Linked DNA regions of Nothobranchius furzeri. The protein of the gene in region 4 binds, or shares a complex with, the protein of the main gene of each other region. Links are inferred from orthologs where the notes say so. Each region holds a gene or a part of one and is shown on either strand. Other genes may lie near its edges.

Evidence for each region.
Region 1: thoc2 (region 4) and chtopa share a complex: the UniProt entries of both Homo sapiens proteins name them as parts of the transcription/export (TREX) complex. The link is inferred for Nothobranchius furzeri from reciprocal best matches to the Homo sapiens genes THOC2 and CHTOP.
Region 2: thoc2 (region 4) and sarnp share a complex: the UniProt entries of both Homo sapiens proteins name them as parts of the transcription/export (TREX) complex. The link is inferred for Nothobranchius furzeri from reciprocal best matches to the Homo sapiens genes THOC2 and SARNP.
Region 3: thoc2 (region 4) and thoc5 share a complex: the UniProt entries of both Homo sapiens proteins name them as parts of the transcription/export (TREX) complex. The link is inferred for Nothobranchius furzeri from reciprocal best matches to the Homo sapiens genes THOC2 and THOC5.
Region 5: thoc2 (region 4) and thoc6 share a complex: the UniProt entries of both Homo sapiens proteins name them as parts of the transcription/export (TREX) complex. The link is inferred for Nothobranchius furzeri from reciprocal best matches to the Homo sapiens genes THOC2 and THOC6.
Region 6: thoc2 (region 4) and thoc7 share a complex: the UniProt entries of both Homo sapiens proteins name them as parts of the transcription/export (TREX) complex. The link is inferred for Nothobranchius furzeri from reciprocal best matches to the Homo sapiens genes THOC2 and THOC7.
Region 7: thoc2 (region 4) and alyref share a complex: the UniProt entries of both Homo sapiens proteins name them as parts of the transcription/export (TREX) complex. The link is inferred for Nothobranchius furzeri from reciprocal best matches to the Homo sapiens genes THOC2 and ALYREF.

What each region holds. Positions count from the first base shown.
Region 1 is NC_091751.1:23,238,798-23,242,663, reverse strand, and holds the end of chtopa (chromatin target of PRMT1a), read left to right. Parts: intron 1-2,112; coding exon 2,113-2,290; intron 2,291-2,361; coding exon 2,362-2,514; intron 2,515-2,600; coding exon 2,601-2,803; 3' UTR 2,804-3,238; downstream 3,239-3,866. UniProt on the Homo sapiens protein: Plays an important role in the ligand-dependent activation of estrogen receptor target genes. May play a role in the silencing of fetal globin genes.
Region 2 is NC_091755.1:36,673,315-36,677,023, reverse strand, and holds part of sarnp (SAP domain-containing ribonucleoprotein), read right to left. Parts: intron 3,158-3,709; coding exon 3,114-3,157; intron 3,004-3,113; coding exon 2,933-3,003; intron 1,604-2,932; coding exon 1,552-1,603; intron 770-1,551; coding exon 693-769; intron 326-692; coding exon 288-325; intron 168-287; coding exon 142-167; intron 57-141; coding exon 1-56. UniProt on the Homo sapiens protein: Binds both single-stranded and double-stranded DNA with higher affinity for the single-stranded form. Specifically binds to scaffold/matrix attachment region DNA. Also binds single-stranded RNA. Enhances RNA unwinding activity of DDX39A.
Region 3 is NC_091757.1:44,994,524-44,998,991, forward strand, and holds the start of thoc5 (THO complex subunit 5 homolog), read right to left. Parts: upstream 2,829-4,468; 5' UTR 2,714-2,828; intron 2,493-2,713; 5' UTR 2,491-2,492; coding exon 2,392-2,490; intron 1,716-2,391; coding exon 1,572-1,715; intron 1,344-1,571; coding exon 1,230-1,343; intron 874-1,229; coding exon 776-873; intron 553-775; coding exon 406-552; intron 288-405; coding exon 173-287; intron 1-172. Other genes in the region: tfip11 (tuftelin-interacting protein 11), read right to left, coding at 4,124-4,468. UniProt on the Homo sapiens protein: Component of the THO subcomplex of the TREX complex which is thought to couple mRNA transcription, processing and nuclear export, and which specifically associates with spliced mRNA and not with unspliced pre-mRNA.
Region 4 is NC_091750.1:48,368,633-48,372,341, forward strand, and holds part of thoc2 (THO complex subunit 2), read left to right. Parts: intron 1-37; coding exon 38-130; intron 131-313; coding exon 314-469; intron 470-595; coding exon 596-768; intron 769-859; coding exon 860-1,055; intron 1,056-2,422; coding exon 2,423-2,461; intron 2,462-2,542; coding exon 2,543-2,673; intron 2,674-2,837; coding exon 2,838-2,939; intron 2,940-3,176; coding exon 3,177-3,261; intron 3,262-3,709. UniProt on the Homo sapiens protein: Component of the THO subcomplex of the TREX complex which is thought to couple mRNA transcription, processing and nuclear export, and which specifically associates with spliced mRNA and not with unspliced pre-mRNA.
Region 5 is NC_091745.1:30,134,698-30,138,866, forward strand, and holds the start of thoc6 (THO complex subunit 6 homolog), read right to left. Parts: upstream 2,885-4,169; 5' UTR 2,754-2,884; coding exon 2,739-2,753; intron 2,172-2,738; coding exon 2,080-2,171; intron 2,007-2,079; coding exon 1,942-2,006; intron 1-1,941. UniProt on the Homo sapiens protein: Component of the THO subcomplex of the TREX complex which is thought to couple mRNA transcription, processing and nuclear export, and which specifically associates with spliced mRNA and not with unspliced pre-mRNA.
Region 6 is NC_091743.1:56,272,702-56,276,593, forward strand, and holds thoc7 (THO complex subunit 7 homolog), read right to left. Parts: upstream 2,322-3,892; 5' UTR 2,235-2,321; coding exon 2,216-2,234; intron 2,009-2,215; coding exon 1,885-2,008; intron 1,781-1,884; coding exon 1,653-1,780; exon of another isoform or gene 1,354-1,652; coding exon 1,267-1,353; exon of another isoform or gene 1,149-1,266; coding exon 1,091-1,148; exon of another isoform or gene 1,013-1,090; coding exon 946-1,012; exon of another isoform or gene 854-945; coding exon 784-853; exon of another isoform or gene 712-783; coding exon 650-711; 3' UTR 546-649; downstream 1-545. UniProt on the Homo sapiens protein: Component of the THO subcomplex of the TREX complex which is thought to couple mRNA transcription, processing and nuclear export, and which specifically associates with spliced mRNA and not with unspliced pre-mRNA.
Region 7 is NC_091752.1:50,607,248-50,611,712, reverse strand, and holds the start of alyref (THO complex subunit 4), read right to left. Parts: upstream 2,820-4,465; 5' UTR 2,693-2,819; coding exon 2,453-2,692; intron 2,189-2,452; exon of another isoform or gene 1,956-2,188; coding exon of another isoform or gene 1,749-1,955; intron 493-1,748; coding exon 334-492; intron 249-333; coding exon 101-248; intron 1-100. UniProt on the Homo sapiens protein: Functions as an mRNA export adapter; component of the transcription/export (TREX) complex which is thought to couple mRNA transcription, processing and nuclear export, and specifically associates with spliced mRNA and not with unspliced pre-mRNA.

The DNA.
Region 1 (3,866 bases), on a different chromosome or scaffold from region 4:
GCGGCGCTGTAAACAACAGCGGCGTCCTGACCAATCACAGGCTTGCGTAATCCGTCTCGTTCGACGGATGTTTAAAAAAGTGGGCTCGACTCCGTACGGACTTGCGTGCCTGCCGGATCCCTACGCAAGGACGGATAATGGCGTTGCGTGTCTCCGCACTGACGCAGACGGAGAAGCATAAATCAGGCTTAAAGCTGTGTTCAGTAGGGAAAAGGGCACAAGTTAGCAAAGGTCTGATGGGTTCTCAAGTCAGAAAGATTCTGTTCTGGTTTTATCAGTGAATTATCATTGAAACCAAACCCAAGCCTGACAGAAGATGCATTTGCTGTTTGGGAAGTACAGTCCTGATCAAAAGTTTAAGACCATTTGAAAATGGCCAAACGTCGTGTTTGTTTGGTTGGTCATTAACAAGGTCCCAAGTAGAGCTTCAATGTGCAACAAAAAAGAAATGGGAGTGAGACAACGATCAAATCGAAACGAGCTGCTTTATAGCTGATAAAAGGTTTAAAGAACAAGTTCACTGAGAAACCATTTTTATGTGTTATTTTTTTAAATGATTGGTCACTCTGAGTTTCACATGCAGGCTGAATATGTGAATAGTCTTCTACCCCTTTTTCCTGCATTAGCCGATAGAAAACAGACGAGGAAATTCTCAGGTTAGCAAAGCCAGTCAGATCTACCTCACAGTAAGTTAACATTCATGGACTCGGCCATCTTGGCTCAAGATGGGGAAGGCAGTTGTTGGTTTAGCATTCAGGAGAGACTAGAGCTTGCCTTGGCTAATAGAAGCTAACTGTTAGCATTAGCTGCTACTCTATACAGTAGAACTCATTCATTTATGGAGGTAAAACATCAATGATGCAAATCAAACAAGGTTAGTGGTAGAGTTGTGTTGCTGTTAGCCAATCAGGGGTGAGATGTCCAAATAGTCTTGTTGTACCCTTAAGCCGGGCGGACACTGTGCGACTTTTTCACTCGTAGCACTCAGCTTCAGCTCAAACTGTACGACTTCCTCACAGAGCAGATCTCACGAGTCGTGCGCTCACACTGCACGACCCAGTTCTCGGATGCGATCTGACTGCTCACGCTGTACGTCTGGTAGCAACACGTCGGCCCTAAAAATGTGCTAAAAATAGCAGTTTTTACACAACACGTCAGACTTTTTTGTCTTGTTTTGCCTGTTGTCCTTCGGGAGTGCTGCAGGGGGACACACAGGGATTTATGGGGGTTGGATGAGGAAAACAAAATAAAGAAAGTAAATCTGTGTTTTGTGATCAGTTTAATTTGACATGAACACGACAAACACGCTTTCTTGACAACCTTTGTGAGTAAAAAAAGTGTAGAAAATAAAAACGAACAACGTGTGTTATTAGGGAAATAGCGGGCGAGCGGTGTTGATGCATGCATGTGCCGTGAGCGGTTCTGGTACTTTTTGGGTCGCAGCTGCTCGCAGCGCCGCTTCAACAGTGCGATACCCTCACGAGGGACGAGCAAAATATTAAACACGCCAGAAGTCTGTGCGAGCTCACGATTGCTGATCGGTAGCTGGTCACGTGGTGTTAATCGCCTCTCGTAGCCCCCTGTACACGACGCTCAGCGCAAAACTCGCCCCGATCTCGTGGATTCTCGCACGAGTGGAAAATCGGCTCAAAAAAGTGAAAAAGTCGCACAGTGTACACCCGGCTTAACCTGAGCTTTCCACTGGATGCATAAGTGACGCGGTTCCTCACGAGCTCAGCGGTGCATATCGTCTCACCGGGAGATTTTCTGACATGAAGCGGCAGTGAATGTGTCACAGCTGGACCCACAACGTTACAAAATCACAGGAAAACGCTAGATCAAGCATGATTTCAGCGGTTCACGTGATAACAAGCATGGAGAAAGATGGTAACGGTATCCTAGCAGGTCTGTGGTGTACTTACTGTTTACCTCAGTCACAGAGGTTTTACAGGTAAATATAATAGAAGCTAAGTGCTACGTACTACGCTTTGTGGACATTTTGTGACGCTCGCGCGTCTGATGGAAAGCTGGGATAACAAGCTGGACCTACTCTTGCTTCGCTTTATTTGTGTTCCTGATTTGTTGCTGTGACCGATCCTTCTGAACCACCAGAGCCTAAAGCAACGTCTGGGGAAAGGCAACATCCAGGCCCGGCTGGGCCGGCCCATTGGGCCTCTGATGCGGGGTGGACCTCCTGGAGGAAGAGGAGGCATGCGGGGGATGACCAGAGGAGGCCTCAGAGGGGGTTTGAGAGGAGGGATCATTCGTGGGGGTCTGTCTTCTCTGAGGGGTAGGTGTCCGTCAGCGTGGAGATGGTAGGGGTGTTTCCTCTCAGCTGAGCAATCACATTGTGTTAAACAGCCAGGCGAATGCCTACAGGTGGACCTATGAGAGGTCGGGGGGGCATCGGACGCTTCCCCATGCGTAGAGGAGGTCGGCATCGTGGAGGAGTGGCAGGAAGAGGAGGAGTTCTGTCTCGAGGAGGAGGTCGAGGTGGAATGCCCAGAGGCCGGGGTAGAGTTTGTATTTATTAGTACAATCGTTTGATGACTCGTGTCTTTTTTTTTTTCACTGTCTCACTGATGATGTTCTGTCTTCAGGCCGTGGTGGACTTCGTGGACGTGGGGGATTTGCTGGTCGTGGGGGCCGCGGCCGTGGGCGGGGCAGAGGACTTGGCCGGCCCACCGTTACAAGGGAACAACTGGACAATCAGTTGGATGCGTACATGTCAAAGACCAAGGGACACTTGGATGCAGAACTGGATGCCTACATGGCCCAGGCAGATCCCGACAGCATGGAGTGACGGCCCAGCGAGACCAGAGCTGAAGACTGGGGCGTAGCGTCAAGTGGTGTTGCTGCACCCTGTTGTTTAGCCGTGCATCCACCTGCTGCTGAAGAGCCAATCAGCTGATGAATAAACTCAAGGGGACTTTGACCCTGATGTCCACGGACTTCCTGTATGAAGTTTTAGTCAAACAGGTGTTTGGTGTAAACTGTTTAGTTTTTCTTAGTTTTTCCTCAAACCTCCAGAGTTTCTTTGGCTCATCTTAAACTTGCAGTGGAAACGTTTTTTAAAATGATAATTTTACAAGAATTTTAAGACGAGTCATTTTCTCTTATATTTGACAGGGAAAGAAGTGCTCAGGCTTTGGGTTGTTTGTATTCCGTGAAGCTGACAAGATGTTTGTTTTAAAATTATTTCCCAAGTTGTGTTAAGGAAATAAAATGATGAATGAGATATTTTCTGATTCATGTCAAACATTTAAGGCCTGTAGGTGTTCTGGAGCATGTAGAAAAGCAGATGTCCTGGTGTGATCTTAGCTTTTGTTCTGCGATTGGTGCCCACAGGGACATGGTTTCCATGGCTGTGTCTCACTGGGAAAACGTCACCAGTTAGAAGGTTGGACGTTCAAACCTAAGACCTACAAACTTCTCTATACTACATCCTGTGAACCATGTGTGTGTGCGCACATACCTAAAGGATTATTAGGAACACCTGTTTAACTTAATGCAATTATCTAATCAACCAATCCCATGGCAGTTGCTTCAGTGCATTTAGGGGTGTGGTCCTGGTCAAGATAATCTCCTGAACTCTTAACTGAAGGTCAGAATAGGAAAGAAAAGTGGTTTAAGCAATTCTGAGCGTGGCATGGTTTTTGGTGCCAGACGGGTCGGTCTGAGTATTTCACAATCTGCTCAGTTACTGGGATTTTCACCCACAACCATTTCTAGGGTTTACAAAGAATGGTGTGAAAAGGGAAAAACATCCAGTAATCGGCAGTCCTGTGGGCGATAATGCCTTGTTAATGCTAGAGGTCAGAGGAGAATGGGCCGACTGATTCAAGCTGATCGAAGAGCATCTTAGG
Region 2 (3,709 bases), on a different chromosome or scaffold from region 4:
GATGAAACGTTCATGCCGAATCTTTCTGCTCTCTTCTTCAGCTGATCGAGGTTCACCTAAAGAGGACATAAATTAATCGTTAAACCCATCAGGACTCCACCAGCCGGGGATCTAAAGATCCATCTGCTCGTCAGGACTTACTGCAGCTTTACTGTTGGCAACAGCCCCTGTAGGAGTGCAGGGAGAGAAAACATCAGCAAACCTCATCACCTACAGCAGGATCACGTTATTCTTTTACTGGTTATTAACTCTGCTTCTAGCATTTATGAACACAGCCGGGTCAGTACCTGGAGAGGGACTGGTAGCATCAGTAGGTAAACCAAACCTGCACACACAAGGCAGATCAGATCCATATTAATATAAATATAACATTTAATAAAGAGTTATGACACATGCCCGCTGCAGTGGAAGTGTGGGAACAAATCCTTCAGTGTTCCCAGTCACATCAGGGATAATATTTAAATTAGAGGCTTTGCATTCATTCAAGGAATGCATTATGTCTTCCTTACTCAGCATCTTTTAATATTTCTAATGAAAAACAGCCCAAATCTACTATTGAATCAGGCTAGTTAAAAGTAGATAAAAACAACAGAAAATAAATATAGATGCAAATGGACGCTCCACAGATCTAAACCCACACATCCTCCTGTGGGGTGTGTGTGTGTGGTGTGTGTGTGTGTGTTCAGCCTCACCTCGCAGCACGGATGGCCTTCTTGCTCTCAGCTGAGGCTGGCATGTTGAAGCGCTCAGCTCTCTTCTGTAGTCTCTGCTGGTGGAAAACAATTCAGTACTTTAGATTTAAATCCAGTTGTTTAAAATCAGAGCAGATGATGCTGACAAACAAACAAACAAACAGACAAACACCTGCTGGCAGCTGGACAGTTAGACCAGCGATACCTAAAAAATAAAACCAACCCCTCTGCAGTTTGCCATAGACCTTAAAGTAACCTCGTGTGATTCTGTGTAAAAGTTACTTAAAACTGCTTTTGCTTCCTGAACAGCCTCTATACAGAGAAATGGCATTTTCCTCCCTCAGGACTGATAGGCTAAGGGCTAGTTTAAACAAACCACCGTTATCTAAAACCATCTCTAATCTTCTAAACATCGCAGCAAATCATGAATTTATGTCATAAAACATTGATTTTACATTCCGGTTTTTCAGCTGGGTGTGTGGTCATTCACAAGTCTAAAAATCACCAACAGCAGCACTTCAGGTGCGTCCTTCCTTTATATTTCTGCCCAAATAATTATTTAGTTTAAACTTAACGATAATAAAAGTTGATTTATTAAGTAAGAACAGCTGAGATTAATGGTAACAACTACACGTTGTCGCTTTAAAACACTTTGGTCTTAGCTGCACTCAGACTAGCTGTTAGGTCATCACTCCCATTAGAAACACCATTTCTCCACACAGAGGCTGTTCAGATGGAGAATATTCGTAACTGTTGTGCAGAAACTTTACTTCAGAACAGACATAATAATCCTGTTGATGCTAAAGTTGGATTAAAATTGGATTAAAGGCTTCCCCGTGTGAGAACATGCCATACATACGTCGCTGGCAGATGATGGAGGAGCGATTTTCACCACCTTCTTCTCAGCAGGTCTGAAAGGAGGAAATATTATGAAATGGGTGTAACTAAATCAGGAGATGCAGCTGTGAGCAGATACCTCAACAAATCTGACCCCTGAGACTTGTGAGTCGACACATGGAAGAACCAATGAACAAGCACTATCTACTCTTTCAGCTAGCTGAAAGAATAGACTTCATACGGAAATTTTCCGGTGCTCCGCATCCAAATCTGCACTACACTGCAGCACGTTTGAATGCTCTGATTGGACTCGAGCAGTTCTGGTCCACGCAGAAGCCGTGCGGAAACCAGACCGCATGTGTTCTGCATGCAGTGTGAAAGCAGCTTTAGTCAGAAGCCGAGCACAGGCGTCCTGAACCACCTGCAGACGGTTCAGGGAGGTTCTGCTCAGACACGTGAAAAGAGAGTTGCTGTAGTCTAAGCGTGAGGAGATGAAGGTGTGGAGAACAGGGCTGAACGATTCTGGAAAATAATCTAATTGCGATTTTTTTCTTCAATATTGCAATTTAATTCATGATTATTTTCTCAAGGGGCTTTTCTCATATTTTTCAACCAACGGACGCAAAATAAATCTATGTGACTTGTAATGAATAAAAACAAGTTTACATAAGCACAAGTAAAGACAAAATGTTGTATTTGAAGCTGCGATGCTTTGCAGCGAGGAGCACATCCCCTGAAGGAGCATAGGTATTAGCAACACCTGTGAGAATGTATTTGCAGGAAAGAAGTGTGTCCCGTTTACTGAAGTCTTTTGTGTTTAGAATTTTTGGCGTTTTGTCCATGCAGAGCTTCCATAGTTCAGCTAAGTCCATAGCTGCTAGCCAAAGCTCAGTGGAGTTAAAGTCTCTTACAGTTTTCTAGCTTTCCTAAAATATCTGTCTGTACTTATTTGATTGATGGCAGTTTTTACTTTTTATTAGACTTCAAATGTAATCATTTGGCATGTTCCTAATTTGTAATTTGTAAGAATGTAATCAGCAATATTAGCATTAGCATCCCTATGGGTTTTTCCATGTTTATTAGCATTGTGCTAAACACTCACTGCCAGTCAAATCGCCTTTGCGATTAGAAAATCTAATTTTGTCACATCGTGATTTAATTGCACATGCAATTAATTGTTCAGCCCTAATTGAAGGGTGTACAAAAAACTGACATGAGAATCCAGGGTGAGAGGGTGGGTCAAAGGTCACATCAAGATTCCTGACAAAGGGTTTGGTGTGAGAAGCAAGCTGACCAAGAGAGTCTCTGACTTTGGGAACCAGCTTGTCTGGGGCACAGATGAGGACCTCTAAAACCCGCCGGTCGTCTTTGTTAAATTGATAAATGAAATTTAAAGGACTTACATCTCACTCGCAGTCGTTTCAGTGTCTTCGTCCACTTTCACCGTGTTGGAACTCTCAACTTTAGTGAAGTCCTAAAAGGAAAATAGAAACTTTAAGTCTTCCTTTGCAAATATAAATCTACATCTTTGACAACAAGAGAACAGACTACAGAATATAGTCAGAATATAATCAATCATTTTACCGCCGTGTCCTCTGCCAGCACATCGTCTAAGTCCACATCTTCCTCTGCAAATAAAAACACAAGACAAGGACATTTGGACGCGAACCCAAAGAAACCAGCAAGATAAGAAAACAACCTACATTTGTGTAACTGAACACAACTGGAGTTTAGCCTGAATGGAACTTAGAAATGACTCAGTTGGATGATTTTAGGGTTTTTAAAATGATCCATCTGTGGGAAAAGTCCAGTTTGTGACTGATCTAGTTCAGTCTGAGGACGACATGCTGCTGGTTTATTGGGCTGAAACAATTCATTAAATTACTAAAGTATTAGACTCAGCGCTTTTAAACCAAGGGGAAGTCTAAGGCTGAGTAGTTACTTGTTTCACAGGGATAGTTTTTATTGTGGGACACCACGCTGAGACTATGCTCTGTGTAAATGACGAAGACAGAAAGTAAATGGGACACAAATCTGTAAAAAAAAGACCAAAGGAGCCAGAAGTTCAGGAGTCTTTCAAACACAGGAATAGCCAAAAGACTCAAACACAGTGTTCACTCCAATAGTAAAGAACATAATACAGACAACTGATGTGTTTCTAATTATTACAGACGTGTTTC
Region 3 (4,468 bases), on a different chromosome or scaffold from region 4:
ATAAATAAAATCTAAATAAAACACAGTGATAAAAGATGACCAAGTAGAAACATATAATTACATTTATAAAATATTGTATGCAATCATATGCAACCTCCTACTATCTTAAAGCGGACATGTTTCACTTGGAAGCGTAAAATTTTCATTAAAAATCTGTTTTTGTTATTTTTACCTGCATGATAGCATTCAGTCCTGGCTGCAAGCTTCTTAGATGCTCTTTCTTCACTTCAATGCTCTTCTGAATTTTCTCCTTTGTGGCCTGTGAGTCCTTGTATTTCTCAGCTAGCCTGTTTCCAACAAAAAATACTTTAATCAGCTGCTCTCTGCCAGACAAAGACTACACCGAACAGCAAAAAGTAACCACAATAGTACAAATGTGTACTATTTCGTGGTAAAGTTCTGTACCTCTTTCTCTGTTCGAGCTCCCAGTCCAGCCGTGCTAGTGTGAGCTGGTGGGGATCGGTTTTTGTGAGAGAAGGCCTGGAGATCTCCGGCGGGGCATCCTGGTAAAACTCTTCTTCACTCACCAAGTCAATTTCTTCATGCTTAGATCTTGTTAAGAGACGGAGAATTTAATTAGACATGACAGGATACTTTTCAAGTAGTGCTGAGAATGTTAAATTAAAAAGAAACAAATTGTTTAGTGGTTTCTTATAGAGATATGTTGTTACATCCTTAAACACTTTTAATAAAACTGATTATTTCATCTTAAATTATAAATAAAAAGTGTTGAAAAAACTAAAGGCTGAAGTCAAGTAAAGAATTTAGTACTAACTTGAACTCCAGACATTTGCTGATCTCCTTCTGAAGATGCATAACCTCATAGAGCAGATTTTGCAGCTGAAGGTGGAGCACATCAACTCTCTGTTTAGCCTGGAAACAGAAAAAGTAATCACCAATGAAATTTGTAAAGTAACAAAAAAAATAACCCTTTAAAAAATAATAAATGCATGCTTGTCAAAACTCAGCATTTGATCATATTAATGAATGTAAATCAAATTTGAAGTAAAACACTCAAAGCTTAACAAAGAACACAAAAACTAAACTGGTATTGCACATTGACTGTAGCCTTCACTGTGGTTGAATGTTAAAATGAAAAAGGTGCCTCTTGTTAAACATTCCTCCTGCAATCAGCACAAAACAAACAAACACTTTCCAGAAAGTAAACAAAACATTTTAAATTATAACAGTTTTTTTCCACAGTTCAAAAGTAGACTTGTGAAAATTACCTCATGTGTTTGGTCTCTGCCTCTTTTCAGTCGCATGTGAGCTAGACGGTTGAGCTTCTTAAGATTCATGAAGAGGATGCAGCTTTGCATACGTTTCTGCTCGACATCCATACTCTTAAAAAGAAACATTTATGTATATATATATATGGATATTTACTTTCATACCCATACACTTAACTTCAGATCTTACAGCTTTGATATGGCATGTGAAAAAGTCAATAAAAGAAACATCTGGAACAGATGTTTAGTAGAGATTTTCCAGCAGAAAAGGAAACGTTTGAAAAAGAAACTAAAGGAAAGTTGTATACTGCTGTGATGTATTGTAGAGATTATGGCTCTTACCCCTTCCTTGGCACCAGAGGCTTTCATCCTCTGGATCTCACTCATGAGTTTGGATAAAGCCTCACATGACTCTTTGTATTGATCAAAGTCCTGTTCAGGGTTCCTGCCATCCAATTCCACCTCCTCATTATAGACACGAACATCCTGGGAAAAGAAACAAGCATGCAATAATAAAACCATCAATAATATACTACTTCATAGTATTCTAAAGTTATTACACACCTACCTCACTATTGTTTTTGGGTTGCTAACATGCAACCTAGTGTTTAAAAACATAATGTGCTGTGAATATTCCTGTGAACTTGTTCAACATGAGATGTTCAATTGTTACCACAAAAACAGATTTAACCTTGTGTAATACTATGTGGATGAATTAACCGCAATTCAATATTCAAACACCTATAAAAACTATAACTTTGACTTTAAGGAACCTGTAGGACGTGAACTGAGAGGCAGAAAATGTCCCTGTTTGATTGATCATCACATAAAATAAAATGTGCAAACTCTGACATTTTTAACTGCCAATGTTCTGTATATTTGTAAACTCAACAGTAAGTACAATTAAAGCTTCAATTAGTAAATTCATCGCAGCAATGAAGTCCAATACTGGTCACTGAGAGCCACGATTCTGCATGTTTTAGTTATCTCCCTGCTCAAATCCACTGCTGTTTAACAGATTCGTGTTTTCAAGTTTACAGAGGCATGCTAACTATCCATTCATTCAAACTAGATGCTGCTGAAACAAAGATGCTGGACAGTGGGCCTACATGTCCATGATTGGACACCACTTATTTACAAAGTTCTGAGTGATTCTGTCTACCTGCTGGTCCGCCTCTCCACGTCCCCGCTTCACCTCCGGGGTTCCTGCTTCACTGCGGAGAACCTTCGATTTCCGCTTCTTAAGAACGTCGGAAGACATGGCTATTAGAATGTGAAAATAAAGAGTTTTAGACCGATAAAAAAACACCGATGAAAACATCACTTTAGTAACAATGACATACGGTTAGCATGCAAGCTAACACGGGCTAATAACCGTTAGCTTGTAGCTAACATCGGTATACTAAACTAATAGAACTAATATTTTGACGGATATTATGCGCTCATTGTGGTTATAAATAGTATGTTTTCCGACAAATACTCACTTGGTCCAAACTTACGTCTTTACTTGATAGAATAGTACACGTAAAAACGAGAACTCCCTCTACATACAAATTGTCGATTTAGGACGGAAGCCCAACACACAGACATACGTAATCGTAGACGCTCCAAGGACAGGCGCTGCCTATTTCAGCTGCCGTAGCGCCCGGTTGCCATCTTAGATGGGTCTCCATTCGCCTGCGGTGCATTTACATCTACTGATGAAGTTGCTGCTTACCCAACTAAAAACACATTATATCAAGCTTTTTAACCAAATCAGACACAATGTATGGCATAATTAAAATATAAATATAATTAAACGAAATAAATAAAAATAAAATAAAAAATATTATCAGGTAGGCTAGAAAAGGCACTAGTAAATCCACGTGATGTTTTTGCCGGGCATAGTTGATAACTCTGGATTGACTTTAGAGTGAGGAGGCAACAAGAACTGTTTCACAAATGAATTCCATATGTTCTTATCCACTTTGACTCGTATAAAAAATTCAAATGCAACTGCAAAAGCCATTTGTCATGCTGCCGAAAAATGTTTAATCTTGTAACAATGTTTTTACTTTGTGATATAAGTACCTCTTTTTAAGTTTATTTGTTTTTCTTTTATTGTTACTAAAGATGCCTTGTATGTTTCTATTATGTGTTGTTGTCTCACGAGAAATTTTAATAAGAATTTAATGATAATATTTAAAAAAGTGGAGGCCCATCCAATATGGCGGCGCCACTCTGGGTCTCATATCTAGAGCCCAAGAGTCAAAAAGCACTGCATTTAGCGCTAACGGAGGACACAGCGCGACCTACTGTCCTAAAAGCTACTGTAACTTTAAGAAATTCCACAAATAGTCATTTCAAAAATGTAAATGTAATATTATAAATTTGCAGACATTTTTCCATATTAGTTATTTTCTTTGTAAGTGTAATTCTCCATTTAATGCAAATGTATTCATAAAGCAGTTATAGATCTATCATATTGACACGATGCACAGTGTTTCAGTCCTATAAGAGCAATCTATTTGCATAGATCTTTGTTCATATTTTTCACTCTTTTGATTGTTACCTTGTATTGTGGCAATAAACTTAATTCTTAAGTGGAACATCTGTAAGTTTTTTTGCATCACGTACAATCAGAAGTTAATTTCTAATAGTTACATATGCAGCACCATTTGATACCCATCTAGAACAAACTTGCATCAAACTAAAAATTACAGGACCTAAATATATAATTTTCTACTTTGAAATCAATCAGTCTAACAACATAAGTAACATAAGTGTTTATTCACAGTTTGACAGTGTTTCAAATTTACAGACTTGTACAAATTATACTGAAATCCTCTTAATACATAAAACAGTTCTGCTACTCTTTTCAGACTTAGCAGACTAAATGATGAGTGTGTCTGAGCTCACTTTGCCATGTCGATCAGGCTCTGCAAAGATGTGGGAACCCAGGTCTTCTCTCCTTGCACAAACACAACACCCCTGTCTATGAAGATAACAATACGCCCAAATGTGTACAGCTGTTTCCCCTCATGCCGTTTTCCCACTAAAGGCATGAAGACAATGTTGTTCTCCTCTGCCTTGGTTTGAATAAGATCTTTGAAGTTAGTTGGCACACCAGCACTGATGCCCCGGTGAGCCACGCTCTCAGCATCCCTGCGCTCCTGCAGAGCTTCATACTGGAAGTCTTTTCGTCTTTCGGTCTGGGTGAGATATGCAATATTCTCTCTTGCACCAGGTTGCATATAACC
Region 4 (3,709 bases):
AGAGATATATGAGTAATGTATTTGTGTATTTGTTCAGGAGCCCAATGAGGAAACACCCAAGTCCCTTTACCACATCGCTGCTGCCCTGCTTCACCATAACCTAATAGAGCTGGAGGATCTCTACGTGCATGTAAGGAGCAGGAATGCACAGATCAGCAGACATTTTTTAGCAAAGCGGTTTCCAGTCCATGCCTGTGTGACATGCTGCTAGTAGTGTTTTATGGCCTGTTGGTGTGACAACATGAAGGTTTCACCTGCAGTGATCTCTGTCAGATTATTACTTGCTACTTTTCTTTCCTCTTCGCTGTTCCAGCTGATGCCACTAGATGCCACCATCATAGAGGAGCACAAGCGAGAGATTTCAGAGGCCAAGCAGATTGCTCGCAAGCTCGTTATGGTTGTGTTGCCCTCCGAGAAAAGTGAAGACAAAGAGAAGGAGAAAGAAAAAGAAGAAGAGAAAAATGAGAAGGTATGACGGTGCTGAAGCTCATACTGGTTACATATAAATATGGATGGTGGGGGGGGTTGTTTAGACATGTCCCCTTCCTGAAGTGACAAAAGTAAAACCACGTTTGTCTCACATCTGTGTTTACAGCCACCGGATAACCAGAAGCTCGGCCTTTTGGAAGCGTTACTCAGGATTGGAGACTGGCACCACGCCCAGATTATTATGAACCAGATGCCTTCCTTTTATGCTTCTTCTCACAAGGCCATCGCGCTGGCTCTCTGCCAGCTCGTCCACCTGACTGTGGAGCCTCTTTACAGGAGGTACCGATTTCTTTAACGTCTCGCATACTGCCTGCTAATTGTTGCCGGCTGGGCAGAAAACATGGACTAGTGCTGTGCTGTTTCGTTACAGAGCCGGCGTTCCAAAGGGGGCGAGGAGCTGCAAAATGCAGCTACTGATGAACAAACGAGCTCCTCAGCCTGCAGAAAGCTTTGAGGACCTACGGAGGGACACATTCAGCATGCTGTGCTATCTGGGCCCTCACCTCTCTCATGACCCCATTCTGTTTGCCAAGATTGTCCGTTTGGGCAAAGCTTTCATGAAAGAGGTAAAAAAAAAAAATAATAATAATAATGTATATTAGGGTTGTCACGGTATGAAAATTTAACCTCACGGTTATTGTGACCAAAATTATCACGGTTTTCGGTATTATCGCGGTATTTTTTAAACGGTGTTGCATATGTTCAGAAAGCATTGATAGTCCTGTTCTACACAAACTGAAATAGTTTTGAAAAGGTTTAACAGTGTTTATTAAACCTAAAATAACACAAAGCCTTAGCAAAAGTGCAACTTTTCACAAGTAAAGGAACAAATAGCTTATTTTTCTGGAACATGTTACAGTAGTCAGTGCAGGTTTAAATTATACAAATCCAAACATTCAAAACATAAACAATATGTAAACAAATCAAAGAAACACCACTTGTTTTCTCATATACTTGTTTTCTTCATTATCAAAATGAAAATCTAAAACCCCAGTCCACACTTGACTTGAGCACTGTACAAGTCAACCTTAAAAAAATATGTATTTAAAATAAATAGCAACTTTAAACAAATTACTAAAATAACTACTACACTATGTAATCAAATCCAAATGTTCAAGTATAAATGGCATTGAATAAGTAAACAAATCAATGACAAGGAACTAATTGTATATTTCTCTTCATCATCAACAAATAAGATGCTTCATCCAGCAACAGGGCGTCCGTGACACGGTTTAAATGCTGGCAGAGGGCGCTGCGGCTGCAGTATATAGTGACTCGTTGCATTCTCCCTCAGCCAAAAGTCCTCGCGTCATGCATTTAAGCTAAAATGCTAATGTTAACTTACCTTGCACTGGCTGTAGAGACGTGGGTGATGGTCACGCAGATGTGCCATTAGATTCGAAGTGTTGCTGCGTTTTGCAGACACTTGTTTCCTGCACGTTCTGCAAACGGGATAGCCGTCTTCTATTAACTGTCCCTCAGCGTTTTTCAGAAATCCAAAATATGCCCATACTTCCGATTTAGTCTTCTTTGAGGGCTGATGGATGTCCTGGGCGCTGCTGTCTCCTCCTTCGGCCATTATTTCAGCTTCAAAGTTTTGGTGCCGTTGCAAACTAAAAAGTGCGTGTGCGCGCCGCGGGAAATTCAGCTGAAGCGACGGTGGCTGGTAAGGGTCACCGCGCCGAAACCGCGGCCACGGTAAACCCACCGAGATAATTTAGTTTTTTTAAAAACTGGACGGTTATTTTTATTGTCAACTTTTTTACCGGGGTTTACCGCTATACCGGTTACCGTGACAACCCTAGTATATATATATATATATATAGTAAAATATGTTGTAAAACACCTTGGGGTTCTAAGACTCTAGAAGGCGCAATATCAAATACAGATCAATTACCATTTTATTCATTTTTTTGTTGACTTTGCTTGACAGTACCAATCTGATGTCAGACCTGAGCTGAAAGACAAGATGGTAAATCTTCAACCCAATTTCCTCCCAGATAAACTGCCACCCTGACTGGTAAAATAAACTATTCACTTTGGTTCATTTCAGGAGTTACTGTTAAGTTGCTTCCTGAGCATCGCAGACCAGGTTCTGCTGCCGTCCATCTCTGTGATGGAGTGTAACGCCTGCATGTCTGAGGAACTGTGGGGGCTCTTTAAGCTCTTCCCTTATCAGCACAGGTAAACACACACACGCACGCACGCACGCACACACACACACACACACACACACACACACACACACACACACACACACACACACACACACACACACACACACACACAAAGCTGCCAGATTTTAAAAAACCCTCCTGAAACTTCCATGTTTTTGTATTTGTTCTCAGGTACCGTTTATATGGGCAGTGGAAGAATGAGACCTATTCTGGACATCCATTGTTGGTTAAAGTTAAAGCTCAGACTGTGGACAGAGCCAAATATATTATGAAGTAAGTAACTTGTGCAGGATTTGGTCGACTATTAGCACCATTTTCCTCTTTGGTTGAAAGTCAGTCCTGGAGCATCTCAGGGTAAAGTTTTTATGACTTAAACTGTAGATTAGAGCGCTACAATGATTAAAAGGGTTTTGTTTTCTTAAACTGACAGCTTTGAGATTGTTTCCTAGATTAATGGTTTTATTTTTAATCTGCCACTTCTTGTTTTGTTTTGTGTTTGTCTCTTTTTAGGCGTTTGACCAAAGAGAATGTGAAACAGTCAGGAAGGCAGATTGGCAAGCTGAGCCACAGCAATCCCACCATCCTCTTCGATTATGTAAGTGTGTCCTTCTTCCTTTTACTTGATGCTGCTGCAATATTTCTAGTTTTCTTTGGAAGAATGGTGATTTTTAGCATGCAATACCATTTGTTTCAGGCTTAGGAGCTCTGGTGCTTCTGAAAAAAAAAACTTGAATCACACCAGAAAAATAAAAGCAACTTCTTAGAATAACACGACAATTAAATGTTAAGTTTTCGTCATATTTACAGCATCACAGATGGATAATCCATTTATATTTAATTAACCACTAAAATACCAAAATGTTTTAGTTTTAATGAAAAGTGCAAGATAATTTGTCAAACAACATGTTTTGCCCTGTTGCTGCACACCAGATTTACAAAAATGCTCCTTTCCTGTTAATAGTTTTTCAATTAGAATAGCAATAATTGGCCAAAGACAGTTTTGGGATGGAGAAAATGTTCAAAGTGTTGCAATTAGGGGTAGA
Region 5 (4,169 bases), on a different chromosome or scaffold from region 4:
GGTGCACAAACAGGAAGTGATTGGTAGTCATTCCACTCCAATCCAGTTGGTGGCGGTAATGCACCAAATTGTTGTTTGCCAAGTGCCATAAGACCACAAATAAGAAGAAGAAGAGAGGCGGGAGCGTTCGCAACAAATTCTAAGCGATAGTCAAAACATGAAGCATGAAATGGAGTTATCCTAGTGGCTCCAATAAGAGAAAGATGCTGCTTGCTTTAAAAAAGCCTTTATCTTCACTTCCATAAGTGACGTTGTTTTTCAATGTAAACATCAAAAGGAAGCAGAAAAGGAAAGAAAATCGGAAATGTTTAAAGGGAGGAAAACAGACCAAAATGGAAAAAATAGAAGAAAAAAAAGAAAGGACACAGGAGCACTGACAGGAAGAAGAAAGCACTCATAGGGAGAGAAAGACAGGAAAAAAGAGGAGGACTAATAAAAAGTGAAAATAACTCATGTCAGAAGAGGGAAGTTTCACAAATCCAGTTAAAGATAAGATTGTCGAAAATTTAGGGGGCCTCATGTCTGTGTTCGCCTTGGGCCCCCGTCGTCTTCCTGCGCTTATCCGGGTCACGGGGGCAGCATCCCAACTAGGGAGCTCCAGGCCGTCCTCTCCCCGGCCACCTCCACCAGTTCCTCCGGCAGGACCCCAAGGCGTTCCCGGACCAGATTGGAGATGTAACCTCTCCAACGTGTCCTGGGTCGACCCGGGGGCCTCCTGCCGGCAGGACATGCCCGAAACACCTCCCCAGGGAGGCGTCCAGGAGGCATCCTGACCAGATGCCCAAACCACCTCAACTGGCTCCTTTAGATCAGGAGGAGCAGCGGTTCTACTCTGAGTCCCTCCCGAATGTCCGAGCTCTTCACCCTATCTCGAAGGCTGAGCCCGGCCACCCTACGGAGGAAACTCATTTCGGCCGCTTGTATCCGCGATCTCGTTCTTTCAGTCATTACCCAAAGCTCATGACCAAAGGTGAGGATTGGGACGTAGATCGACCGGTAAATCGAGAGCCTGGCTTTCTGGCTCAGCTCCCTCTTCACCACGACAGATCGGCTCAGCGTCTGCAGTTATGCACACACTCGGCCGCGAACCTACCCAGCAAGAGCTGAAGGTCAGAGCTGGATGAAGCTAGGAGGACCACATCATCCGCAAAAAGCAGAGACGAGATTCTCCTGCCACCAAACTCGACACACTCCACACCACGGCTGCGTCTAGAAATTCTGTCCATAAAAGTGATGAACAGAACCGGTGACAAAGGGCAGCCCTGGCGGAGTCCAACCCTCACCGGGAACAGGTCCGACTTACTACCGGCTATGCAGACCAAACTCACGCTCCTCTGGTAAAGGGACTGAATTGCCCTTAACAGAAAGCCACCCACCCCATACTCCTGGAGCGTCCCCCACAGGGTGCCCCTGGGGACACGGTCATAAGCCTTCTCCAAATCCACAAAACACATGTGGATTGGTTGGGCAAACTCCCATGCCCCCTCCATCACCCTTGCAAGGGTATAGAGCTGGTCCACAGTTCCACGGCCAGGACGAAAACCACATTGCTCCTCCTCTATCTGAGATTCTCCAGTACCTTGGAGTAGAACTTTCCAGGGAGGCTGAGGAGTGTGATCCCCCTATAGTTGGAACACACCCTCAGGTCACCCTTCGTAAAGATGGCAACCACCACCCCGGTCTGCCACTCCACAGGAACTGCCCCCGGTGACCACGCAATGTTGCAGAGGCGTGTCAACCACGACAGCCCTACAACATCCATAGCCTTGAGATACCCATGATGAACCTCATCCGCCCCCGGGGCTCCGCTGCTGTGTAGTCGTTTGACTACCTCAGCAACTACTGCCCCTGAGATTGGACAGTCCATCTCCAGGTCTCCCGGCTCTGGTTACTCCTCGGAATGCGCACAGGTGGGATTGAAGAGCTTCTCTGAGGACTCACCTGTAAACGTCAGAACAGGCTTCTGGCTAGCGGTGGTGGCTTCTGGACTTAGAGCTGCAGCCAAGCTGAAACAAAAACACGGCAGGTGTGAACCTCAGACTGGTGAAAGGCGAGACCAGTTTCGCTGGTTTGTCCCACCTGAACAAGGCAATCTCTCCGTAGTTGTTTCCGGCCGCCAGGAAGCGTCCGCAGGGAGAAAAGCTCTGGGAGAAAACCGACATGTGGAGGAGCTGCGGACATGAAGAGATCGAGTTAATCCTTATTTAAACAACATCAGACACACATGAACGATCATATCGGCTGTTTTCAGATCCGCGTCGGGAGCATCGACATGGTCGGGAGGATGTGTGCGGGTTTTATGGCTGTTTCCAAGGGCGCATGGTCATTGGTGGGAACATGTCACGTGACACGGAGAAACCAAGCCCGGAAAATGTGTCTTCCTGAAACGGATTATCAAATCAGTTCAAACTACCTTAAAAACAGACTCTAACATCAGGTTGAACCTGGTTACAATAATATCTGTAACACTTTCAGATTTATAAATGTTTAATGATATCAGAGAACATCGTTATTTTGAAAGCTTGAATGTTTCTTCCTAAATAATAAAATCTCCGCCAGCAAAGAAATAAGTTAAAACCTGTACAAATCATACCTCATATATGTTTGTTTGCCTAGTAAACAGTTTAATGAGATTTTAACAATAATACGAAGAAGAGAAACACTGAATAGGGCTGCAGCTGGTTTTTAAAACATTTACTCTTCGTCAGAAGCGTGTGCGCGATAGCTATAATATTTACCTCTACGGGTCCCATTCTGCCTCAAAATCCTCCCGGTTCCGTTAAAGTCGCGGAGAAACAAGGGACAATGGAGCCAGCGCGGGAGAAACCATCGACATAAATATGAAACGAATCGGGTGGTGACGGAGAAAGACGCATAGATATGACGTATGATCAAGCATAGGATTGTGGGAGATGTAGTAAAGAGAGGGCTTGTTTCTGACATATCAGAATCGATCAGAATCAGATTTATTGGCCAAGTTAAGTTGCATTTACAAGGACTTTGGCTTCGGTAGATGTTAGCTGTCTAAACATACATCAAATAAATGATAATGCATTCAATTATCAGGGAAGAAGCACTTATTCAAAAGTAAAAAATAAATCAGGAATTAAATCTCGAACAAAGAAATACTTCCAAGTTCAGAAGAACCCTGTCATCAGGGTGCACGGGTGTGACAGCCAGTTGCAGAATGTTGAAAGAGACAGGTGTGTGATCATCATACAGAACAAAAATATGTGAGAGATAATGCATGCATGGCAAAGCCCACAACGTGACTCAAATGAAAAACACAAGTTTACTGCATGCACATTTCTACTGAATATTCACAAGCAAATTAAGTCCAAATATTCTATTTTGTCCTTATCTAAAATTTAATTTGTCTTCAGTTTGTTTTCCAGCTTGAGTTTTTTGTGTCCAGCAACCTGTGTGGTCTTATAGATCATAATAGACTAGTAGATGACACTAACATGGAAATTGAACTAGATATTCTGTATTAACAAGTTTAATCATGTAAAATGAGAACAAATAAATAAAAATTTCTCCAACAGGTAGATCTGGTGCTGTCTCTCACGCTCCATAAGGGAGTGCTTAACTAGAAGCACATCAGTCCTGTAACTGTTGCCGTTTAATCTGTTACTAATAAATATTAGTAATAGAATAGTAATAAATTAGATTAGTAATAAATATTGTGATGTGCTCTTTTTGTTATCCACTGCCCATATTGTCTATAGTGCTTTTATGTGACCTGCCTAGGGATTGAGGATTCACTTTAGCATTCCTATAGCCTAGTGAACTAGACCAAATTCTTGCTTTGCAAAGTTTGGTCTAGCAACACTCCACTGCAACCTCTGCAGCCCCAACAGCATTCTGGCTGGCCAATCACAGCTCTCTAGAGGGGTTTCAAACACATAAAGAGCTGTGATTGGTCCATAATGGTGAGCCATAGTGCTCTATCTGCTTAGTGAACAAATCACAGAGCTATATCCGCTTTGTGGGCCAATCAGGGCACTCTATATGCCTGGTGGGTGGGACGATGCAACAGAGTGAAACATGAGTATGTCACATTCATTGTCCAGTAGGCAACGGTAGAACCCGCCCCACAACCGCGAGCCGTCAATGGAGCGTTGCCAGACTAAATAATACATTTATTTAGTCTGGCTTGCCAGGCTATT
Region 6 (3,892 bases), on a different chromosome or scaffold from region 4:
AATCCCTTTTCTGTTGTAGCATGCATGATGTTGTTCTAGACTTTATGGTTCGGTTAAAACAATTTACAGGGGTTTGCAACAAAGTACATAGTGATCATTCACATAGGAAGTCAGAGGCTTTCTTTCATTGTGGTTTATTTACTACATCAGTAAATTTTGGCATTCATTTTTAAATAAATGAGCAAAACCATAATTCTTGTTACAGACGTCTTATTCTCAGAAGAATGTAATTTTGTGAACTTTAAATCAGAAACTATTTGATAGTTTGGTATGAAAAAATGATAATTTAGTATGAAAAAAATGATAATTGGGTTTAATGACACTTAGATTTTACAAGTATTCAAACTCTCACTTATAGTGCAGAAACTTCCAGAGAAAATACAGCACATATGAATGTTCAACAACTGTTCTGTCCTTGACTGACGCGTATTAAATTTCTTTTCTGATCAGAGTTTCAGTTGATTTTCTTAAAAGCCTGGAAGCTTTGGTTACATTTTTACTGAGATTATTTTAATGAAAAGAGAATATAAGAATTAAAGATATACTCCAAGATGACAGCTTTATTCAAAAATACATACAAAAAAGGATTCTTAGACAAACTAAATTTCAATTAAAAGCTGTGACTCCTTCAGTTGGGCTCTTTATGTGTTCAATCCCCATTCTCCATGGGACTCTCCTGACTGTGGTCGTCACTATCTGACTTTTCATCATCTAGGAAAGACAGGATAGACGATGAGGGCAGCTCTGACAACAGTTTGTCTGTATAACCAAGTGGCTACTTACTTTCTAGTGTCTGCTGCAGCTCCTGAATGGTAGTAAGAAGAACATGAAACTGCTTCTTCCTCAACTCCAACTAAAGAGAATGCAAACATGGCATAAAAAGTCAGTAAAAATACAACTAAATCTGATACTTTAACAACATTAGGCCGCTGTGTTTGAGTTTACCTTTGCATCTACGTTCTCTTTGATGTGAGACAGTTGCTGGAGTTCTTTATCGAGTGCCTCCAACTGCCTGGAAGGTAAAACAAAAATGAGCACTTTATTGAACATGAAGGGGAGCTTGACATGTTTTATCGATAGGCTGACTTACTGGAGTGTTTCATGTCTGTCTGGGTGTTGCTGGATTACCTTTGCTAAAGCATCATATTCTTTGGAGAGACAGAGAACAGATACTTAAAAAAAAGTTTACATCCTTTTGACAACGCACATTTGATACCACATCTGGTAATTTTTCTGTAAATACAACAGATGTTAAAATGTCCTTACCCTGGCGATTTTTTCGTATTCTCTTGGCACGCAGAATTTCTTTTTTGCATTCTGTGATCTTCTCATGTGCAGATGTGATGTTTTGTTCTGCGAGGTGCGAAAGAAAAAAGTTTGATTAGTGTTAATTGGGCGATGGTGGCACAGGAGTTAAGTGCTCGCCCCATAATCAGAAGGGTGCAGGTTCGAGCCCCGCTCAGTTGTAGCTACGATGTAGCTCATCACCACCAGTGTGTGAATGTGTGTGTAAATGTCTGATTGTGTTGTGTTGTAAAACGCCGTGGGGGGTTCCAGGACTAGAAAGCTCTATAAAATACAGGCCATTTGGCATGTATGACTAAAAGAATTAACAAAAAATTCTGTGACATTGAAAACAAAGCCGATCTTACCTATGTTTGCGTAGATCTTCTCATAATTCTCCATTTCACGAAGATTCATGTCATAAACCATCAACGTCTTTCCCATAGAAAACTCACACTGAGCCAGAGTAGCCACCATCCTCTGGTACTGAGTGAATCTACACACAAAGAGCCCAATGTTCAGCATTTCACTGCAGTTGTGTACTCGGCATTCAAGATGTTACAAGCAAAAACTGGAGACAGATATATTGCTAGCTCGTACCCTTCTTCTAGGGTCCCAGAAGGTGAGTTGCACCACTTGGTGAAGCTCTTCAGCAGCAGATTGATTCGGCGGTCATCTCCAGCTCCGTCACCGTCAATGAGAAGACGTTTTCGAATCACCTCATCTGTGGAACATGCAATAAAGCAGCTGAAGAGCGTTGAAAACATAATGCATCTATGCTAAGTGTGCTAGCTAACGTCGCTATTACAGGTAGCATTTCTGGGTATTTTTCCAGATAATAAGGCGCAATTTACAATGTTTTAAACTTAGACGAAAACAAAAGTAAAGAGTAACTTAAGTGCTGAAATTAGTTAATGATAAAGCCACAAACCATCAGTTACAGCTCCCATGTTGCTGTTTTTCTTCTTCTACTACTTCCGTTCTACTGGTACTGATTGATCTTTTGTCTTTAGGCAACTCAGACACAGCTGAGCTCGTTACTGCCTTATCTGGTAAGAGGACGTTACTGCATGTTGTGATCTTTTCGCTTCATCTTCGTTAAATAATGTGGATTTTAAGTATACAGTGATTACAGTGATTATGTGACACAGAGATTTAGTTTAAATGCAATTTAGTAATACCACTAGGTTTTTTTATCACACAATCAATTACAAATTACACAATCAAGTGATGAAATTGAATTACGGTAGAATACATTTTTCAAAGGCAAAATGAATGCTGTAATCACTTTTTGCTGTGTAAAAAAACGCCTCAATTATGTATGAGCAAAGCCCTGCTCATAAAAACAGCATATGTTGTGTTTGGTGCTGGTTTAGTGGTAGATCAGCATACAATGCTGGTCTAGCAAGATGGTTCAGCATCCAGTCACCAGCTTCCCATACTGGACAGGCATTGTACACATCTTTTAACACAAAACCCTAAACTTTTGCAGCTGTTCAAAAATAAGCACTTTCTTGACATCAAAACGTGTCTTTAAAATTCACAGACATATATGTGAAATATATGGCACATATCAAATAGGATTAGATTAGGATTAGAAAATAGCCTCTCCCTGGGCTGCCACCTTAGCGTGGTGGAGGGGTTTGAGTGCCTCAATGATCCTAGGAGCTAAGTTGTCTGAGGCTTTCTGCCTCTGGTAGGGTCACCCACGGCAAACAGGTCCTAGGTGAGGGATCAGACAAAGAGCAGCCCGAAGACCTCGTATGATGAATTATATAAATGGAAAACGTGTTGCCTCACCCGGACGTGGGTCACCGGGGTCCCCCTCTGGAGCCAGGCCTGGAGGTAGGGCACATTGGTGAGTGCCTGGTGGCTGGGCTTTCACCCACTGAGCCCGGCCGGGCACAGCCCGAAGAGGAAACGTGGGTCCCCCTTCCCATGGGCTCACCACTCGTGGGAGGGGCCAAAGGGGTCGGGTGCAGTGTGTGATGGGTGGTAGTTGAGGGCGGGGACCTTGACGGTCTGATCCTCGGCTACAGAAGCTGGCTCTTGGCACATGGAATGTCACCTCTCTGGTGGGGAAGGAGCCTGAGTTCGTGTGTGAGGTTGAGAGGTTCCAACTAGATATATTCGACTCACCTCAACGCATGGCTCTGGCTCTGGAACCAGTTTCCTTGAGAGGGGTTGGACTTTCTACCACTCTGGAGTTGCTCCCACTGAGAGGCGCCGAGCAGGGGTGCGCATACTAGTTGCCCCCCATCTTGGTGCCTGTACTTTGGAGTTTTCCCCAGTGAATGAGAGGGTAGCCTCCCTCCGCCTATGTGTGGGGGGACGGGTTCCGACTGTGGTCTGTGCTTATGCACCAAACTACAGTTCAGACTACCCACCCTTTTTGGAGACCTTGGAGAGGGTGCTAGAAAGCGCTCTTTGCAGTGACTCCCTCATTCTGCTGGGGGACTTTAACGCTCACATGGGCAATGACAGTGAGAACTGGAGAGGTGTGGTTGGGAGGAACAGCCCCCCTGATCTAAATTTGAGTGGTGTTTTGTTATTGGACTTCTGTGCCAGTCATGGATTGTCCATGATGAACACCATGTTCAGACATAAA
Region 7 (4,465 bases), on a different chromosome or scaffold from region 4:
ATCCACTATAAATCAGCTCAAAGGGGGTTGAACACTCAAGAAAGTTTGAATTATTTAGTCATGTCAAACCAGAAAAATGTAAACAAGGTCTGAAGCGTACCATCCAGTGGGATGCCGTTGTACTGTTTCATGGCCTTTAGAGCGTCAGCTCTCCTTTCAAAGTGGACATCTGCTGTTCCTAAGCTTCTTCCCGACCGGTCGTAATGAACTGCAGCTTTCTTCAGAGTTCCGAATTCCGCAAAAAGTTCCTTGAAAAAGTACATCCAAGATTAGTCTAAGACAGCAACAAGCCATAAAACACAACCAACCAGTGAAGCGCGGATTTTGGAGTACCTGAATGTCTGCATCGGAAACACCGAAGTCGAGATTGGAGACGAGGAGCTTCCCTCCAGTTTCCACACCAGCTCCCCCGCCACCCCCAGCAGCACCATTGAAGCCACTGAAGCCGTTGTCGAACATGTCGTGCTGCCACTTGTCTGGGAGCTGTTTAGGCTGCAACAGATGAAAGAGAACGCACCTGCTGACTTCAGGATCCCCTTGCCTCTGCCCATCACTGAGTCCACACGGCTGGCTGTTGGGGCAAGCAGGGGGCTCCACTTCCAACATGGTGCTCAGCTCCCTTTAGAGGGGGGGGGGTCCCCAGTATTCCCTGCCCACCCCGTCACAACGAGCAAGTGCATCAGCTCAAAGGGACGTGCACACAAATACTCAAAAGCAAGGGGATTTGTAGTAGTCTCGCTTCGATTCAAATTTTGAACTTTTTTAAACGTTAACACACCAATGTTGGGCCATCTTAAATCGGAATGTGTACAAACATCACAATAAAGTCCATACTGATTTAAGTTAGTAAAAACATGCTCAAACTAGGGATGCAACGATACCACTTTTTTCCAAACCGATCTTAGTACTCGCCGATACCAATACAGATACTTCTACCACACAAAAAAAAAAAAAATGCAATGATTTGGAATGCAGATTTTACTTTCTTCTCTGCTTTCAACAGGAAAAGACTGTGAGGTAGATAAAAAGTAAAATATATGAATGGAAATCATCACAAAACTAAAATATTAGGTGAACAGAAATGACAAGTTACAGTGAAGCCATTTTCAAGCAACTGCATTGGTATCGGTTCCTGGTATTGGTTAACTTTCACCGATACTGGTATTGGTATCGGTGCCGATACCAGTATCGTATCGGTGCATCCCTAGTTCAAACTCACTGGTTCCCAAAGTTAGGACAGGACACCAATGTTGAGATTATCAAATTTAAAAATAATTGACATATATGAAGAGAAAACATCTAAACAGACCAACTGACAAGCGTTTAGTCTTGGTGAAAGTGGATGGAGTCATCTTCCTGTCCTAATGTAATTGTCTTATTGGCTATTTGTACGTGTCCGTCATGAATAATGAAGGTTTTTAATCACAGATCTTGTAAATCAGAAGTTAAAAGATCTGGGAGCCACTTGTTTCAATCACTCTAATCAACTGTCTAAAGAAAAATGGTCCCATTAAAGCCCACTTAAAATAAAAATGTATTCTTTAGATCCAAGTTTGATGTAGTAAATGGATTAAAAACAAAACCATAAAAACAAAACTCAACAGTCCTGTTCTGGGTTTCTAGTGAAATAAACCCTAGAATAGACTAACGAGCCTTTCCAGAAACCTAAGTATTACCATCACAGATATTTCTTAAACCCAAACCCACAGACTTGATGCTAAACCTGTAAAACTCCTCAGACTAGCTACCAGAGATGCCCATTGTTCTCGCCATCTGCGCCTCCCTCCAGAAAAGCCAGCTCCTCGGGACACTCGGGGACTCCTGTTCGATGCAGCGGCGTCTCCAGCGCTGGTACTTTGTGTCCTGGACCTCAGAACAGTTCTCAGTAGGGGAAGAGTCCGTGTGCTGGATGAGGAGTGAAAATGGCCAGATCTCCCCTCTGCGTGAGCGTCCATTTTGAAACCACGCCATTTTGACTGGGGCTTTGTTTGGCTTCGCTACCAACTCGATCACACTTTAAAAGACGAAGAACCGGTTTTGTTTGGGCACTAACAGAGGAGTAAAAGTCCGCTTTTCCATCCACAAGTAACAGGCAAACTGGTAGAAAAAGCCACCAGAGGGCTTGAGAACCCACTCCCCGAACAAAAGGCCGCCTGGTCGCTGCGCTGGCGGGAACTTGAGCACATATCCCGCTCCGACAAGCAGTGAAAACACACTTTCGAGTGATACTCTTGACGAAGTGGGTTTCTTTCACCACCGTGGCCAGGATACCTCTCACTGAGCACTCACTGACGACTAGCTTCACAATGCGGGGCTGGATTCAAAATGGCGCTGAGGGCCTCCACTCCTTCCGTAGGCTGTTGAAGCTCGACGTGCGTTACACATTTGGGTTGCGGGAGAAGGGACACAATATGAAAACATTTCTCTGCTTATTCCTCTAACATTCTCATACCCTGCTGTAAGGCGTAGGTCTGCCTCTAGCGCGACTCAGGTTCTGTCGATTCCTCATGGGGCCGGATCCACCGCCTCGGCCTCCAAAGCCTCCGCCGCCGCCTCCGAGTCGCCCAGCGCCTCCACCCCGGCCGCTGCCTGTGCCTCCGCGGCCACGGCCTCTTCCTCCCCGGCCTCCACCTCTCTGCTGCCTGCTCTGTTTGATAATGTCGTCTAAAGACATATCCATCTTATCGGTCATTTTGCTGCCCCAATAACGCTAAACTTTGAACAAATTAAGAATGTTACACCCTAGACACGGTCGGTCCCTCTCCCTGTCCCTTTCAAGGCTCAACGGTGTCTGATTCTTGTAGCAGCTGCTAAACACAAGTAGTAGAACACGACGTTCTCTACGTAAGCCTGACGTGAGTACGTGAACGTGATCCCCTCTACTGTCGACGATGAGGCGGAACCGGGCGGAGCATGTATCTAAAAGAAACCTTGACAGGAAAATGTGCGAATTGTGCAAAAGTTCTACACAGATGTGGTAAAATACAGAACAAATAAATAAATATTTTTTTGACAAATATGACATATAACATTTGATCGAAACTAAAACTGTAAACTGAAGAAATAACCGGGAAAAACTAAACCACATCAATCATCAATTCTTAAAAGAAACTTTCACAAAGTCAAGGATTTTAAAATAATATAGTTAAGTGTTTAAAGAGCAAGACACTCCCAGATCAACTTTTTTCTGATAAACTATATAAATGCGTATCTAACCGTGCTGCAGACACGTGTAGTTTTGCACTTTTGTGCATTTAAGTTAAAATTTAAATTTTCTGCCTAAAACTGTGAGTGTTGTGCCGTTGTCAGGTAAAAACTCTGCACTGCATTTGAATTTAAATCTGCCATCGTTATTGGCAAAGGGGTACCCTAGAACGTTAGCTGGTAGCATATGATGTCACAATGTCGTTGTGTGTGTGTGTATTTGTTAGCGGGCCCGCCCTCTTGGTCTGCTAGGCAACAGAATTTGTTGCATTTTTCAAACAGGAAGTGGGAGCGGAGTAATACTCTGGTAGGGGGTGACTTGCTCTTTAAGCAGTTACACAGAACTGGTGATGGCTACTGACCCCTTAGATTTCTAAACTTTTGCTTTTTTTTTTTTTTTTTTTTGCACAACTAACCAGTTTTGGGTTGCTTTTAGCAGCCCCTAGTGTTCTGTTAGTAAAACCAAAAGTGAAACTGTGCATTCACCTTTTTAAACACCTTAATCCATAATAATGTCTCCCCATCCTTCCTTAATTTCTACAGGAGCAGCTCATCACTAAATTGACCAAACCAGCAGTGTTTATGATCTAAAACATGCAGGAAGCAGACTGCAGCACCAGGCATGTCAGCTCCACAAGTCCAACTCTGAAGTTGCAAGTGCGACATTCTGGCCATAGAGGGTGGTCGGGGTCTGAGTGACATTTCATTAACCCTGTACAGGGTTGTTTTAGCACACACTGGCTCAAGAAAATTTTAAAATATGAAAATTTTGCAAAACACTTCAGATAAACAATTATTTGATCTTTCAAGGGAAAAAGCAGCCAAAACCTGGCACTGCATGCCTATTTGTAATAACTGCAATCAACCATTTGCTTTTGAGATCATTGAGCCTACTTGACATTGTCAGACATGTCTTACTTTTACAGGTCCGGCTAGAAACATTCAACCTAGCTTTCCAAATAACATAGTTTATCAGTTAGTGTGATTTAAAAGGGAGAGGACAGAACCTTCTCCACGTATTTTGGATAGCCCCCTCTAATAATTGAAATAAATAAAAAATAAAATGCCTTTAGAATTTACTCAGTATCAATAAAACATGTTAGCTGAAGTCTGACCCCTCCACCCCAAAAAACCCCAAAACAACAAAAATCATGAATCTGAATCCACAGAAGCAAACGTACTGTAAAAGTCTTTTATTCAATATTTTGTGTAAAGGCTTAGAGGAGAAGGGTCAACCAAGGACTGCATCCTTGCATTCTAG